2 linked regions of the Lepisosteus oculatus genome follow. The protein of the gene in region 2 purifies or fractionates together with the protein of the main gene of each other region. This does not show direct contact. Links are inferred from orthologs where the notes say so. Each region holds a gene or a part of one and is shown on either strand. Other genes may lie near its edges.

Region 1 (7,913 bases), on a different chromosome or scaffold from region 2:
AAAGCAAACGTTTTTAATCCATAAAATCAGTTAACGTCAAGCCTCTGAGCAAGCCCCAAAATAAAAAAAAAAACAATCCCAAGGACGCATGGCTTCTTCACTGCGGCCCTGGCGGCTGCGGCCTGTCGCGCAGTCTGGGTGTGTGTGTGTGTGCAGCTCATCCCAGAAGCGCCCAGTTCCTCTCCTCGCCGCCCCATGTGCCCATCAGCCGGAGAATCCGCTCCAGGAAGGGGCGACACTGGGCAGACTACGAGGCCACCAAAGCCGGGGGTGCAGTTTGTGTCATTTTTGTTTTTCAATTTTGCGTGCTTCCACGTGCAGCAAATAGAGTGTTCTACGGGCTCACTTCATCCCGTCTGAAAGAGCCTAGTCCTTGGAACGCAGACAACAACCATATCAGGATCAACCACCCAGCAAAACCATCCCTCCCTCCACCCAGCAGGCCAGTCCCCGTCCCTCCCAGCTGGCCTGGCCCTGAGCTGCCTTGTCCTCTCCTGTTCAGTCCGCCAGCTCCAGGTGACGGCTTGCGACGAGCCTTTTAGAAGCCCTGAGAGCCCGCCAGGCTGTCCGCCTCCACCTCTATGGACACCACGTGGTGCCCGGGGATCATGGCCAGGCCCAGCACGCGGGGCTCGCCCTGGGAGAACAAGTCTGAAAGGAAGAGCAGAGAACAGAGGGCAGGAAAAAAAAAAACACGGCTAACCTGAACATTATCCGGAATGTGCATTATGGTCATCTCAAACTCCGCGTTACAGTTCTCAGGCATTTGCTGCAGGTGTCCATTACATTACTGGAGTGTTTTCTTTCACGGTTAAAATCTCAGGAGTCATTTTTATTAACTACATGGAAAAAGATGAGTCGTGAGCAGTTACTGCTGTGCTGCCAAAATCATCCCTCTATTTAAATAGAGCAGGATGGGTGAAAGGCGGAATGGTGTTGCAGTGGTTTGCATTGCTATCTCACAGCACTAGGGCCCTGGGTTCAATTCCAGACCTGGGGTGCTATCCGTGTGGAGTTTGTATGTTCTTTCCGAGTTTGGGTGGGTTTCCTCCGGGTGCTCCAGTTTCCTCCCGCAGTCCACAAACACACTGGTAAGTTAATAATAATAATAATAATTGCTTACACTTATATAGCGCTTTTCTGGACACTCCACTCAAAGCGCTTTACAGGTAATGGGGACTCCCCTCCACCACCACCAGTGTGCAGCATCCACCTGGATGATGCGACGGCAGCCATAGTGCGCCAGAACGCTCACCACACATCAGCTATCAGTGGGGAGGAGAGCAGAGTAATGTAGCCAATTCATAGAGGGGGATTATTAGGAGGCCATGATTGGTAAGGGCCAACGGGAAATTTGGCCAGGACGCCGGGGTTACACCCCTACTCTTTTCGAGAAACGCCCTGGGATTTTTAATGACCACAGAGAGTTAGGACCTCGGTTTTACGTCTCATCCGAAGGACGGCGCCTGTTTACAGTATAGTGTCCCCATCACTATACTGGGGCATTAGGACCCACATGGACTGCAGGGTGAGCGCCCCCTTCTGGCCCCACTAACACCTCTTCCAGCAGCAACCTTAGTTAACTGGCTTCTGAGAAAACTGGCCCGCACATGTGTGTGTGTGTTGGTGTCTCTGTGTGTCTTGCCATGGACTGGCGCCTTGTCCAGGGTGTACCCCGCCTTGTGCCCGCTGCTGACTGGGATTGGCTGCAGCCCCCCCAACGACTTTGAACGGGAAGACATGGGTTAAATACCCTGCTCATGGGTGCAACAGCAGTGGCTGTGGGTTCAAATCCCAGGTCAGTCTCCCAGTTACTAGTCCAGAGCCTTAACCCCAAACGCCCCCCACGCAGCTGCCTGACAAAAACGGGGGGGTACAGGCGGTACCTGTGGATTTAAGGAACTCCTGCGCGGACCCCAGGATGACGTTGCAGTCGCGGTCAGTGCAGAGGAACAGCCCCACCAGCGTGCGCCCGTCCGTCATGCGGATGCGCATGCTCTTGTTCAGCAGGTTCTCCAGCTTCTGACAGGCCAGCGTGTACGTGGACTCCTCCCCCTGCGGGACACGGGGCAGCCAATGGGTGAGCGAGCCTTGCTTAGGACCGCCTCCTTTGTCCAGCAAGATCAAGGCCAAAGAGGAGTCAAGCACAATGACGACGTGGTGGACAAGGCATGATCAGGCTAAAAACATGGTAAAGGCTAGAGAGTTCCAGGTAAAGCACCAAGCTGTAAAGTAATTTTGGCATAAATCAGGGCAATACCATGATCTTGTGAAGTTAATGCACAGAACAGGCAGGGGACTGAACTGGTGTCACAGGGTCACAGTGCCATTAAGATTAGGGCATTTTCTGGAAATGTTTCAGCGTAAATTGCATTCCAGATTTGCAGCTTCTTCACTTGAATAATGCACTGCCAATTACTTCAGCCCTTTGAAACCCGCGCTATGCAATGTGGCACACTTTAAAGCAGGTGGTCTGAAAAATAAATCCGGGGTCCCCCTGACCTCTGAACAGTCGCGAATACGCAGCAGGGCAGGTTACCAAACGCGCGGTCAGCACTGAAATAGCAGGCCTAAGACAGCACAAGAGCCCAGGTTAGAAAGCCACCGCACTAACTCCAAGACTTCACTCGTCCGGCCCGTACTCGTGGGGGGCAGTGCGAGAGCAGGGTGAAACAGCGGCGACCCTCCGCTGTCTTCCCGTTTCCGGGCGAAAACGTGCCATCATTAATCCACCCCGCATGCCTGTGTCACCCACCGGCACGCTAACACCGAGACATTTCCACCGACTCGCACGGCCACTCACCCCCGAACGAGCTGCGGTACCATTCTCTTCTTTCACCGCCGCCATTTCTTATTTATATTCATTTAATTTTTGACTGGGTTTTATTCACCCCTCTCCAGACCTTCACGGACCCTCGCGACCTTTTTAAAAAAAAAAATTCCAAAGTACATCCGGGTTTTCGCAGGGTGTTGTGGGTATTGTAGTGTCTATTTAAATACGAAGGACAAGGACGCCTTGTTTTTAGGTCTTCGGGGTGGTCTGTTTTGAAAACGTAGTCGCACGTCTTTTTTTCTCCAATTTCCTTATTTGAAAAATGAACGTAATTGACTTGAAAACAAACCAGGCGTTCCATTAATTAAAGTTAATAGGATTATAAGTTCATTTGAATTCATGGAGAACGAAAAAATAAACGTATTTCCCACGGATTGTTGTTTTGATAAAAGTGTCTTCAAGACGTCACCTGGGGTGACAGAACTACAAATCCCAGAATTCCTGCGTGTCGTCATACCGGCCTGGCGTAGCTACGGCAACAGAAACAAAGTTTTGTGTACAGTTCTGCAGCGCCCCCAGTTTTAAAGAAAGAAAAAAAGATTAATACTGTTTAGGTGAATACAAACGTGTGTAATGGTCGTTTCAATTTAACACATGACGGCTCATACATAACTTGTTTTACTTCCTTGCAGGGGAGATGCGGCGCCCCAAATATTACACTCCTAACGAAGTCTCTTTGCACAACACTGTCGAGGATTTATGGGTTTCGTATTTGGGCAAAGTGTACGATTTGACCCCGTTGGTGAAGGAGCACCAGGGTAAGTTAAAAGCGTCTGAGGGTAACTTTCAGCACAAACGCGGGTACCCCGGTGCACCTCAGTAGCGCATTGTCTACTTGTAGTAAAACGCGCACAAAATGCCTTATCGGATTGCCTTCCTTATAATTGTTTAAAAGACTGATTGCGGTGAATCAGGAGAGGGCGAGGGACGGGTATGGACACCCCAGTTTTTAAGCTCCCTTTCCTTCATGCGTTTCTCCACTCAGGCGATGTGCTCCTGAAACCCATCATCGAGTCCGCAGGGAAGGACATCAGCCACTGGTTTAACCCCAAGACTAAAGATGTAAGTGAAAGTGCAGAGGCCTCTCTGGGTTGGGGTAATCACTCCTTTAATTAATCGTCATTATTGAGGGTGTGAGTATGTAGGGTGGGGGAGTGGAGCTCTTCTGGTACTAGTGTCTTCCTTAAAGGAGGGAGCTTTTCTTTAAAAGGGTAATAATAATAATAATAATAATAATAATAATAATAATAATAGCTTACACTTATATAGGACTGGACTCTCCACTCAAAGGGCTTTACAGGTAATGGGGATCCCCTCCACTACCACCAATGTGCAGCCCCACCTGGATGATGCGCCGACAGCCATGGTGCACCAGTACTCTCACCACACACCAGCTCTCAGTGGGGCAGAGAACAGAGTGAAAAAGCCACTTCATAGATGGAGATTATTAGGAGGCCATGATTGGTAAAGGCCAATGGGAAATTTGGCCAGGACACCAGGGTTACATCTCTACTCTTTTCAAGAAATGCCCTGGGATTTTTAATGACCACAGAGAGTCAGGACCTCGGTTTTATGGCTCATCCGAAGGACGATGCCTTTTTTACAGTATAGTGTCCCCGTCACTATACTGGGGCATTAGGAGCCACATAGACCGCAGGGTGAGTGACACCTGCTGGCCCCACTAACACCTCTTCCAGCAGCAACCTTCCTCAGCAACCTGCTGAGCTTCAGTGGGTTGCCAGTTATGAGTTGCAGGGTGATATGGCTGCTGGCTGAACTCAATATGTTTGTACTTATTTTGTAGTAGGGCAGATCTTTGCTGTTTGCAAAGATCACTGCTTCTCTCAACAGTGGAACCTGCATTCCTGTCTCACCGCGCAGGTGGCTCAACGGGAGGAGGAAAGTGCGCTGTCCACACCCTCCCCATACGGGATCCCAGTAGACTAACAGACGGGAATTCCTGATTCAGAGGGATTAAGAAATAAAGGAAACTGTAAAAAGAGTGATTGCAAATTATAAAAAAAAGAAACAAGCAACAGATTGTTCTCTGAGGTCCTCATAAAATGGCCAGACTGTGCCCATTGCTGATGTTTGCTAGGGCCTCACTGGGTCAGTGTCTTGTTTTCAGCACAGCACTTCTGTGTCTCCACTGCAGTGAAGTAAGTTGGCCTGTAGATGTCAGTGTGGGACTGTACTTTGCAGCATTTTCACAGCCTAAAGATAGTCCGTGGTTAAAGTCTTTAATCTCTAGTGAATGAGACTTCGCCATTTACCAGTTCATAGGCCTTGTCCCAGAGGGGAGCCCCTTTGAAACCCTTCTATTCCAGCTGAGCTCATCAGAAATTTTAGTTTAGCTGTCAAAAATCTTGGAAGGATTAGTAAGAGCTATCAGCCTTCAACCAGCTTCTGGGTTTCACACCCCTCTTCATTCAGATGAACAGAACGTCAGTAACTGGGCCTCTTCAGGGTACATAGTTGATTTTTTTGTGTCTGTTAGATAAGTGTCATTCCCACCTGTCTGTGAACACCTGTAAACACCTCATGTGTTAAGTTCTACATTAAGGCTGACACACAGGATCATACATACTGTGAACAATAGTGGCATAGTATTACATTACTATGTGCAGGTGCTACCTGATCTTCTGTAATGGGAGCTGAAGGACTGCAGTGCTGGTGCTAACCATGCAGGACAGTACTCAGAGCTCTGGACTGATAAATGGAATAGGTTCATTTCCCGGCTGGAGCAATGGTTTTGAACCCATGGGCAGGTTTCAGTAAAACACCCAGCAGCATAAATGGTTGCATGTAAGTCTCTATGGATAAACGAGCAAGCCAAATAAATTTATAATAACCATTTATGGGTTGCTAGGCAGAGAGAAACACAATAGCACCTGCTTCTAGGTCCAGGTCTTAGGCACTGTTTCACTGTCTCCTTACTCCTCTGTTTGTAAAGCAACCTTGTCACCTACAGATCCGGACCCACGTCGACCCCCTGTCAGGCTGCAAGAAGTACTACACCCCCAGTGGGCGTTTCGTCCACGTGCCTCCACCTTGGCCCTGCACCGACTGGGCCAACGACTTCGGCTGCCCCTGGTGGAGAGACGGCTGCTACGAGGTGGGGGTCCTGTCAGCCAAGACCCGCCACGTGCGCATCATCAACACGCTGACTTCCCAGGAGCAGATGCTGGAGGTGAGCCGCGCACTGCTGCCTGGCAAGGCGTTCCTGCAATATTTAAAAAAAGGGGCATTTCTCATGATTTTGACAGTACGGTTTTCACCTATTTATTTCCTAGAATACCTCCAAATGTAATATTTAAAAAAAAATAAAAAGAGGACAAAAAAACAGTGACATTTCTAGTGTCGTACAGAGAGTGTATTTCTAGTCTCGGAGCTGTAAAGTGTTCATATCACAGGTTGTATAGCAAAACTATTCCATTTTCTCTTTAAAAAAAGCAAGCTCTTGGATATATGCTGGATATTTTGGGCTTGTTCCCGCATTTTGCATTAATTTACGTGTACTGTTGCCTGGGGATAAAAACATTAAAGCTATTTGTCGATTTGCTTATTCAGAATACTTAGTAAAATATGAAATGGGTCAAACTGCCGTGCAACGGGAGTCTTAATTTGCATCGCGGTTGTTTTTCATGGTTTTTTTTGTGTAACCCCAGTGAGTATTCTTGGGAGGCCCCTTTGTGCTCGAACCTGTGATTCAGGTGACGGCACAGATCTCGGTGTCCCGACTGTCTCCCTCGCCTGTCGTCCCAGGTGTGTTCCGAGGAGACAATGTCGGAAATCCTGCAGCGCTACCTGAAGTACAACTCCCATGCTGCCAGTTACACCTGGAAATACGGCGGCGTCAACCTGGACATGGGCAAGACGCTGTCGGAGAACGGGATCGCCGACGAGGATCAGGAGTTCTATGAGCTCCGCATGGACCGGGACCTTTTCACACAGTCCATCTGTCTCTATTTCAACGACGATCTCACCGAACTGTGAGCTCCGCTCCACTGCACGTCCACACCCCTTCCACTGTCCTGTTAGTCCTCTCTGCTTCGCCAAGAAACTGCTTCAGTTTTGAGCTCTGGTCTCACGACCCTGGGAGCCACCCAGCTCTACCGGCCCCATCTCTGTGATCTCTCTCCAGTCTGAGACATGTATTGACCAGCTGCTGCTGATCCCCCTCTGCCTCTGTCCCTGCCTCTTTCTCTCTTCTCCCACCTCTCCCTCTCCAGATCCCTCTGTCCCTTCCCCTTGCTCTCTCTCTCCGTCTCTCGCTCTCCCTCCCCCTTTATTCACAGCTGGATGATCGCAGCTCATGACCTGTTCTCAAGGGTTGCTTTTCGGTGATAATAAAATGCGCTGCTTGTTATTTTGAGACATGTCTAGATATTTTGGACCTCTTTTTTTGCTTCCCGTGACACAGCTTGCTTTGGATTAACCACTGGGTGTTCAGTCTCACCTCTCGTGGAGGTGAACTCCCACAGGCTCCTCACTGCTCAGCAGGACACGGGCTGCAGCAGTCTGAGCTGTACTTGTGTGTATCTGAAACGTTTGTCCAAAGTTTATAGCTTTTTTTAAATGAGGTATTAGTGTGTTCACTGTTTAAGTTGTATTATTATTAATTTCCCCTATTCCTTCATCCAGCTTACATTTGATACCATAATTGTGTAAAATATATTGGTGTAGTTCATTAACACAGCTATATATTTACAGGAGTCCAGGCATTCTTTAATAAAAACAAAATATGTAACTAGTTATTATAATTCCCTCAATGGCTATTTCTTCAGTTGTTTTAAGTATTTCATTTCCTCTTAGGCGCCTTCTGTATTTAATGGTTACAGACACCACCTCCTTCATCCTGTGCTCGTCTCAATCACATCAATAAATCGGCCACCCATGTCTACGTGTCGTGTTGAGCAGCATCCCAAAGCGCTTTTACAACAAGTCGAACTGCAGAATAATTGTAGTTAAAAGTCCGGCGGAGGCATCACGCGTAATAAAATAAGGCAATTTCGTCGTTTTCTGCTCGCCGCACGTTTGATTAAAATATATATACGCGTTAATTACCCCTGTGTATGTT
Region 2 (7,027 bases):
CCTCCCTCAAATTAACCTCATCATTCCACCATATATCATTTCAAAGGATGTGCTCAGTCTTATACTAGGCACATAATGATACTCAATGCAAGCTGCATAATACTTGCAATAATCAGTTTGAGTAAAGAAAATGCTGAAATGGATATTCAAAGCAAAAAAAAAAGCATAATTTAACCTGAAGCAAGGAAGAAACTATCTGAAATGAAAGCTCCCTTAATTGAGATCCTGATGTAGCAGGAAATTGGTGTAACACCCTTTCCTTCTTCAGGGTGTGATTTTTAAAGAAGATATAATACACAATTTACAAACACGGTGCTGTGCAGATTATTTTGCAATGTTAAGGCAGGGCAAAAGGACTGCATGCAGGTCTAGTGCCGAGCACAGTCCATTCACTTGGAAGCATAAAGAACTTTAAACAAAAAAAATATTGCTTAAAGAAATAAGCCTTCTATGGGCTGACAGTTCATGCACAACATCAGTGGGAACACAAACATACTCTTAAGGCAGCCAGACCCAGGATCACAGTAATACTTCAGTCACCTTATCCACTATCAGTAAAATATAAAATGTTGGAACTAGCCAATACCTCTGCTGAGCAAAGTAACCCATTCATGCAATTTATTCATAGCAATATTAAAGAACCAGTTACTGCCCTCAACTCATGTAGTTATGACAACCACACCCCTTCTGCTTTCCCAGTTCCTGCTGTTGATGGGACTTTAGTAAGAGAGTTCGTAGTTAAATTGAGACCTAGTACCGCACCCCTACTTGGTACGAACTTGTACATTTGTTACTAACATCTTAAATGAGTCCGAAAAACTGATTTGAAGTTTTCTGTTTTGACACCTGTTAAGATAAGATGACTAGGCCTCCCTGCTACTTAACAGCCACCTGATGTCCTTGATTTTGGCCTTCTTCCTCATAAAACACCAGACTCCACACCTGGTGACAGAGCCTTCTCCCGTGCAGCACCATGTCCATTATACACATTTCCCATATCCATTAGAGATGAATTCACTATCTCCAAACACGCTTAAACATCAGTCTTATTAATAAATCTTTCAATCTACAGTTTCATCTCCTGTTATCACACAGTCAGTTTGCCGGGGTTTGTTTGCTTCTGTTTTAGTTTAGCACTTATCAGTTGGTTGCAAAGAAACAACTGCATTATTAACAGAGAGGGTAATGGAAAACGTGGTCTCATCACATTAAACTTTTCTGTTCAGGGCTGTTCCTACCTTTCCATGGGTCTGAATGAGTTTGACAGCAGCCAAACCATTTTGATACCTACTAAAAATGGTAAAAGCTTATAAAACATCATAATCTGACTGCCACCTTGTAACAGTAATCTGTGATACTTTTTTTAGCCTCAGTTCTACCCTCTCTGCCCTATGGTTCAAGTTTCTCACATCATAATTTAGTCAATTACAAAGTAATTAATAACTTTAAAATTAAATATCAAATATGCTTGGCGCTTTCGCCCAAAAAAGTCTAAGAGTATGAGAGGATAAGAGGAAATATTAAAACATCATACAACTAAAAGCCCCAGTTAGAGGAGTCGAAACGACAGTTCCTTCAGTGTCAGAGCGAGGTTTTGGAAATCATCTCGGTATTACCCACCACTTGGACAAAAATGGAAGTATTTTATTACCATACCGATACGAGTGAAGTGATATTCCAGTAAAAGCTCATAAAATGCTATGTCAGAGTAACAAAAGACTTTAATTAAAATGAGCAATTCAATTAGACAATACATGGACCTTCAACGTCCATTTATTAGTTTAGCCACAGCGACAAAGTGTGTGCAGAGCTCTGCTACAGGGATCTGAACCCCAACTCATGCAGCTAATATCCCACAACCCACCCCAAAGCCGCACAACACACCACTTCACCAGTAAAATGGCAGTGTACGTACCAGAAAGCAGAGCTTAGGCCAGTTGTGGATGAAGTACCTGTAGGTGTAAATGGAGTAGGGCTCCGACAAGTCCTTAGTGATCAGCCTCATAATGTCCGGCATCTGCAGCTCAGACTCATAGCGCACGTACTGGATCGGCTCCTCATCCTCCCCCTGTTCTCCGCCAGAGCTATTCAGAACCACCCTCGCCATCTCCGACACCGCTGCCTCCACGGTGTAAGAGCCGTCCAGAGCGGCCTCCAGCTCCACGCCAGCCCCTGGAGTCCCGAGGCCTGCCACGGCCGGGGGGTCGGCAGGGGAAGGCCGGGGCTCAGTCCTGGCGCGGTCGCCTCTCCAGCTCGCCTCCTCCGACAGGGTCAGCATGCTGTTCATGCTGTGGTTGTTGTTCGAGTACGAGTGGTTTTGCGGCGGGCAGTGCTGCCCTTGGCAGCCGCTGTTGTTGATGTCGCCGAAATTGCTGCCCTCCTGGGCGCCAGCCCGAGCCCCGCCGGTGCCGTCGCGGTGCTCGGTGAGCGCCCCCGGGCTGTCAGACGGCCTGTGAGCCGGGTGATGGTGATGACTATGGAGGCGGCTGTGGTGAGTGCAGGCGAGGCCGTCCTCCGCGGCGTTTATTAAGCCGTTGAGTTGTTGCTGCTGCTGTGTCTGAGTATGGAAGTGGTGAACCGCCGGGTGAGAGTACAGGTGGTTCTGAGTTGCCTTGCTCGTCCCTTTCCCTTCACTTACTTGTTGCTGCTGTCCAACCCCGGGGATCGCTGCGTCTCCTCGTCCACAGCCACGTTCCCCCCCTTCCCCGGGTATGGCGCACCCAACCCCGGGGAAGGGAATAATCTCGGCCGGGGATGCAGGCAGCGCGCTAGGCCCAGGCGGCACCTCAGCCATCCCACTTCATTCAGGGAAAAATGGGGACGAAGAAGAATCACGAAAGAGAGATCCTGTTGGTCAGGGGCAGGTAAAAGCAATACCAATCCCCCCCGGGAATAACGATTAAAATATGCGAGTTTTGAGTCTTCTCCCTCAGGTCTCCTCTGGTCGTTACCCGTCACTCTCTCCTCGGCTTTCCTGCTCCCCGCTGCCGGAAAGTGGAACGACTGTCAGTACGACACCAAGAAAGAGGAGGAGACACTTTACGACACTCGTGGGAACCATGATTTCGCGAATATAGCCTGTAGATCGATTCGGCGGAAGCCGAGTTAGATCGGTTATGTGTTCAACATATATTATTGAGATTAAGAAGCGATCAGCCTAATTTACATTAAAATTAACAGTTTCATATTTTTATTTTAAAGAATGCTGTTAAAATATTGCATTGAGTAAATATGAAGCTTTATGTTTCATATTAACTTTATTATCGTTTAGAGCGCTAGGAAGACTGGGGCCGAAGCAGAATCACGAAAGACAGATCCTTTTGGTCAGCGCACTAAATGAGAAAATAGGAAAGTTTATATAAATGACAAGTTTAGGGAATCCTCCTTTACTTGTTTTAAGCGAGCTGTACAGTGGACATGTGATTCCAGTTTGGTTTACAATGTATGCATGCTATGTATACTCATGCATAAAGATAAATGTACTCGCAAACAATTCTAGAGAATAAAACAGACGACAGATTCTTACCAGCTGGATTATTCTGTACAATTAAAGAGATTTCACAGCACAAATACCTTCCTCTATTCTGGCATAGCAAACTATATCCCAAGTCTAGATGTGGTAGTGCAACACATTCCAGTTTAACAAAGTGCTGAGTCACCAGGAACATTCCAGAAGGATCTTGGTGGTCTCTGTGCTAACTAGCTACAGTATTAACAACGGGATGGGACTGCACCCCCTTATTTTGTAAGACGTCTTGCACTCAGGATCAACATCTGCAACCTATTATACATGAATCAGGTGCTGTCCTTTGTGCCAGTGAGTATAGTAGAGGCCCTTGTTTCTTGTGGTCAGTCAGAGCATATCCTCTGGTATATCACGTGGAAAGACGTGCTGTTTCTCAAAATAATCCGAGATGCTGTCTACACTGTCACACATGCTGCGGAGAAAGAGCAGCATCTGGGGATGGGTCCTGCGGACCCAGAACTTTTCAAATGCCTCTCGCTCTGAGTAAAAACGGGGGTGAGGGGACTGGTTTGGGTTCTCTTGCTCTGCTTCAGGTGTGTCTGCCCATTTTAAAACCATCTACGTAGACCTTAGAAGGAAATGGAGCCAATTATATAAGTTTGTTTGCTGTCATCTTTGTCCCTGGACTGTCATTGGACACATCAGAAGGGTACATTTTTTTCCAAGTGTGTAGGGCCTTGCTAAGTCTATCTGGCGCTGAAGTGTTTACACACACTTTGTGACTTCGGGATTTGACTGCTGTAAGAGGGCATCTACTCTAAACAACAGGCTTCAGTATGTCCAAAAGGATCCTATAACACCCATTCTATGTCCTTGGCACAGGCTCAGTTGAGAGCTGTTAAATTGGCTTTAAGGTTCTCCAGCTCAAATTAAGAGATCAGATTCACCCCAGGTGAAATCTTTGTTGTGGATCTTTAGAACTGGAAAAAGGAAAGGATCCATTCAGATAGGTAAACTGCTCTAGTTGGCCAGCCTATCTCTAGAGAAAAGTCCAGTACAGTTTTTATAATGGGAAGAAAGATTCCAGCAGAGGGCAGTACAGGCCAGAGACTTCGCTCTGCGTAGTATTTGTTGTTGCTCCAGTAGTAAACCTAACAAAATTGCACAAGCATTCTACACATTACTTCACTACACTGAAAGCATTATTCTGTCCAAATGACTGTTCCTTCTCACAGCACAAGCCATGTTCAATTTGGAGAACTAGCCTGTAGTGCATGTCAATGCTTTTAATGTTAAATTCATATTTAATTCCCCCTGTCCCGACGACAGTGGACCTTACAGAGAAAGCATTTATTCAGAACATTTCCATGTTGTTGGCTGTCCCTCCATTGACTGTAATACAAATCTATTGGCTTTTGGAATCACTTTACCCTTCCATGTTGTGTATTTTTAGTCCTAGCAAGAGCTGCTGTTATCCATTATCTTCGGTCACTCCCTTTTTTAACAGCTAGTGCTTGGGTTCAAATACACTGCTTGATGGATACAGGACTAAAAATGAATCCAGGGCGCCTTTGTGTCAAAAGAAAACATCAGGAGGGACTAGACAAATATAGATAGTGCTCTGCTGGAGGAGAGGCCAGGCAAATACAGATAATGCTCTGTCGTTAATGCAACAGCTCTGCAAGATGTCTGATCCCGCATGTCATCTGAATGACATGACATTGCCAGTGTTGTGTTGCTCTTTAAAGATGCAGAGAGACCTGCTCTGTGCCAGCTGTGCCGGCACATTCCTGTTGCCCAGCCCACTGTTCCGTGCGAAAGCGGTTTGTTTTCTCTCCAGCTCAGTTGCCTCATGCTAATTGTGTGCAAAGTTTTATCGGTTACACGGCCTGCCGTCTGTGCAGGTCTCTCCAGTTGGATAGTTGCTCCCTATTCAGTTTACCCGGAGAATCCACTGTCCTCTTTCTCTGGAATCAATTTCCACTCCTAATGTGCTGGAGAGGGGCGGACGCACTGAGTGCTTCAGACTCTTAAATATTGACTGACTTGGTAATGGCGTGTCCTGCTTGTGCAGATATGTGCGCTCTGCTGGGTTCTGTACAGAGACTAAAGCCGTGCTTGCTGCTTTGTTATCCCCCGACACACCTGTGGGATTGTGGTTGAGTGCTTGCAGAATAACGATGAACCCAACTAACAATGCAACATGGCAAATGACAGTTTCCTTTCATAGATTTTTTTTTCTCTATAAGTATATAAAAAGGAATGTATTAGTAGGTATGGAGTTTAAAGGAGTCACCCAAAGGCCCTTAAAGACCAAGACCTTTAAGCCTAAGAAGGCGTTCCAATCATCAACTAATTGGCCATAGCACATTTCCTGCAGGTAGTCCTGTGTATTGGGGTGTCATGTCATAACAATGCTTTCCAGCCTGTGCCAGACTTCAGAGGTTATGCCTTTCTGGCTTCCTTAAGCCATAAAAGAAGCTCAGAGCCTACAGTTGCTGTTGTTCCATGGTCTCCCATAAATACATGCAGAGGTTGTGTGAGCAATTGGTCCCAACTGACAGAACATTAGTCAGGGTCAGCCCCTGAGTCGAAATCCACATGAGAATGTGGTGCCTCTATCAGTGTGGGGCCCAAGGAGGCTAGCGAGAGACTAGAAAAAAGCATTCTCTCAGGAGACTGACTGCAGTGGAGATTGAACACAGGCTCTTCCATCTTTTATCTTACCTGTGCCATGTTCCTGCCACACTGCCCTGTGTTAGTATTCCTTAAGCTCCATTGGCTCCTCTACTGAAATTACTTTCTGGAGCTTGAGACTATTGGTAATTGTTCACTACGGCTATGGAAGCCTTCAAGGGTATGTGAAGGCCTTGTGATAGAAAAGAGGACTGTCCCTGCTGCTGGTCTAGAGTGAGGTGTTACCCCCAGGAGAGGCACAGAGCCTGATAAGCACAGAAAGAAGTCACAGAGAAGGAGACAGCAGGGATGAAGATGCAATTATGAATGCTATGGTTAGTTATTAGAAACATCGCCCGGTATTTTATGACACTGGAATGCCTACTTGATTTTACCAATAGAAATCAAGAGTGGAAAGAGATGAATAAAAAAAGAAAAGCAGAAGGTCAGAGGTCACTCACTGCCAGGAGGGATTGGAACAGAAGGGGGGATAGTGGATGTCTCAACACAACACAGACAACAAAGCCACACCAAGAGACCTGGAGGACAAGTCCCGTCCCTCTCAGCTGACCAGGGCAGCCTGGAGTTGGAGACACATGGATCCTCTATAAGTATGGCCCTCTAAAAGATATACTTAATACCACTGTTAAAAAGAGAGTTATTAGACAGTAAACTAGAGTTTATAACTTAGGATTTTAAAACACAGCACCAAGAAAGGATGAGGGCTGTAAGACCCAGCACAATGCCTCCCTCTCCCTTTGGTATTTTACTGGAGCCCCCACCCCTGCTTTCTATAAGAGCCCGAGTACTCAGACCCTCGTTAGATCTGTCGCAGCAATTAGCTATTCAGGAGCCCAGCAAGGGAAGGAGAAATCCATGAGAAAA

Evidence for each region. Proteins that work in one complex are often made in the same cells at the same time.
Region 1: the proteins of naa30 (region 2) and naa38 purify together in Homo sapiens (co-immunoprecipitation; 3 studies listed by BioGRID and IntAct, with this or other methods). This does not show direct contact. The link is inferred for Lepisosteus oculatus from reciprocal best matches to the Homo sapiens genes NAA30 and NAA38.

The regions. Positions count from the first base shown.
Region 1 is NC_090698.1:7,517,937-7,525,849, forward strand, and holds the start of naa38 (N-alpha-acetyltransferase 38, NatC auxiliary subunit), read right to left. Parts: upstream 3,014-7,913; 5' UTR 2,849-3,013; coding exon 2,804-2,848; intron 2,056-2,803; coding exon 1,887-2,055; intron 652-1,886; coding exon 539-651; 3' UTR 1-538. Other genes in the region: cyb5d1 (cytochrome b5 domain-containing protein 1), read left to right, coding at 3,471-3,591, 3,819-3,895, 5,805-6,023, 6,599-6,829.
Region 2 is NC_090703.1:9,953,052-9,960,078, forward strand, and holds the start of naa30 (N-alpha-acetyltransferase 30), read right to left. Parts: upstream 3,004-7,027; 5' UTR 2,795-3,003; coding exon 1,916-2,794; intron 1-1,915. UniProt on the Homo sapiens protein: Catalytic subunit of the N-terminal acetyltransferase C (NatC) complex. Catalyzes acetylation of the N-terminal methionine residues of peptides beginning with Met-Leu-Ala and Met-Leu-Gly.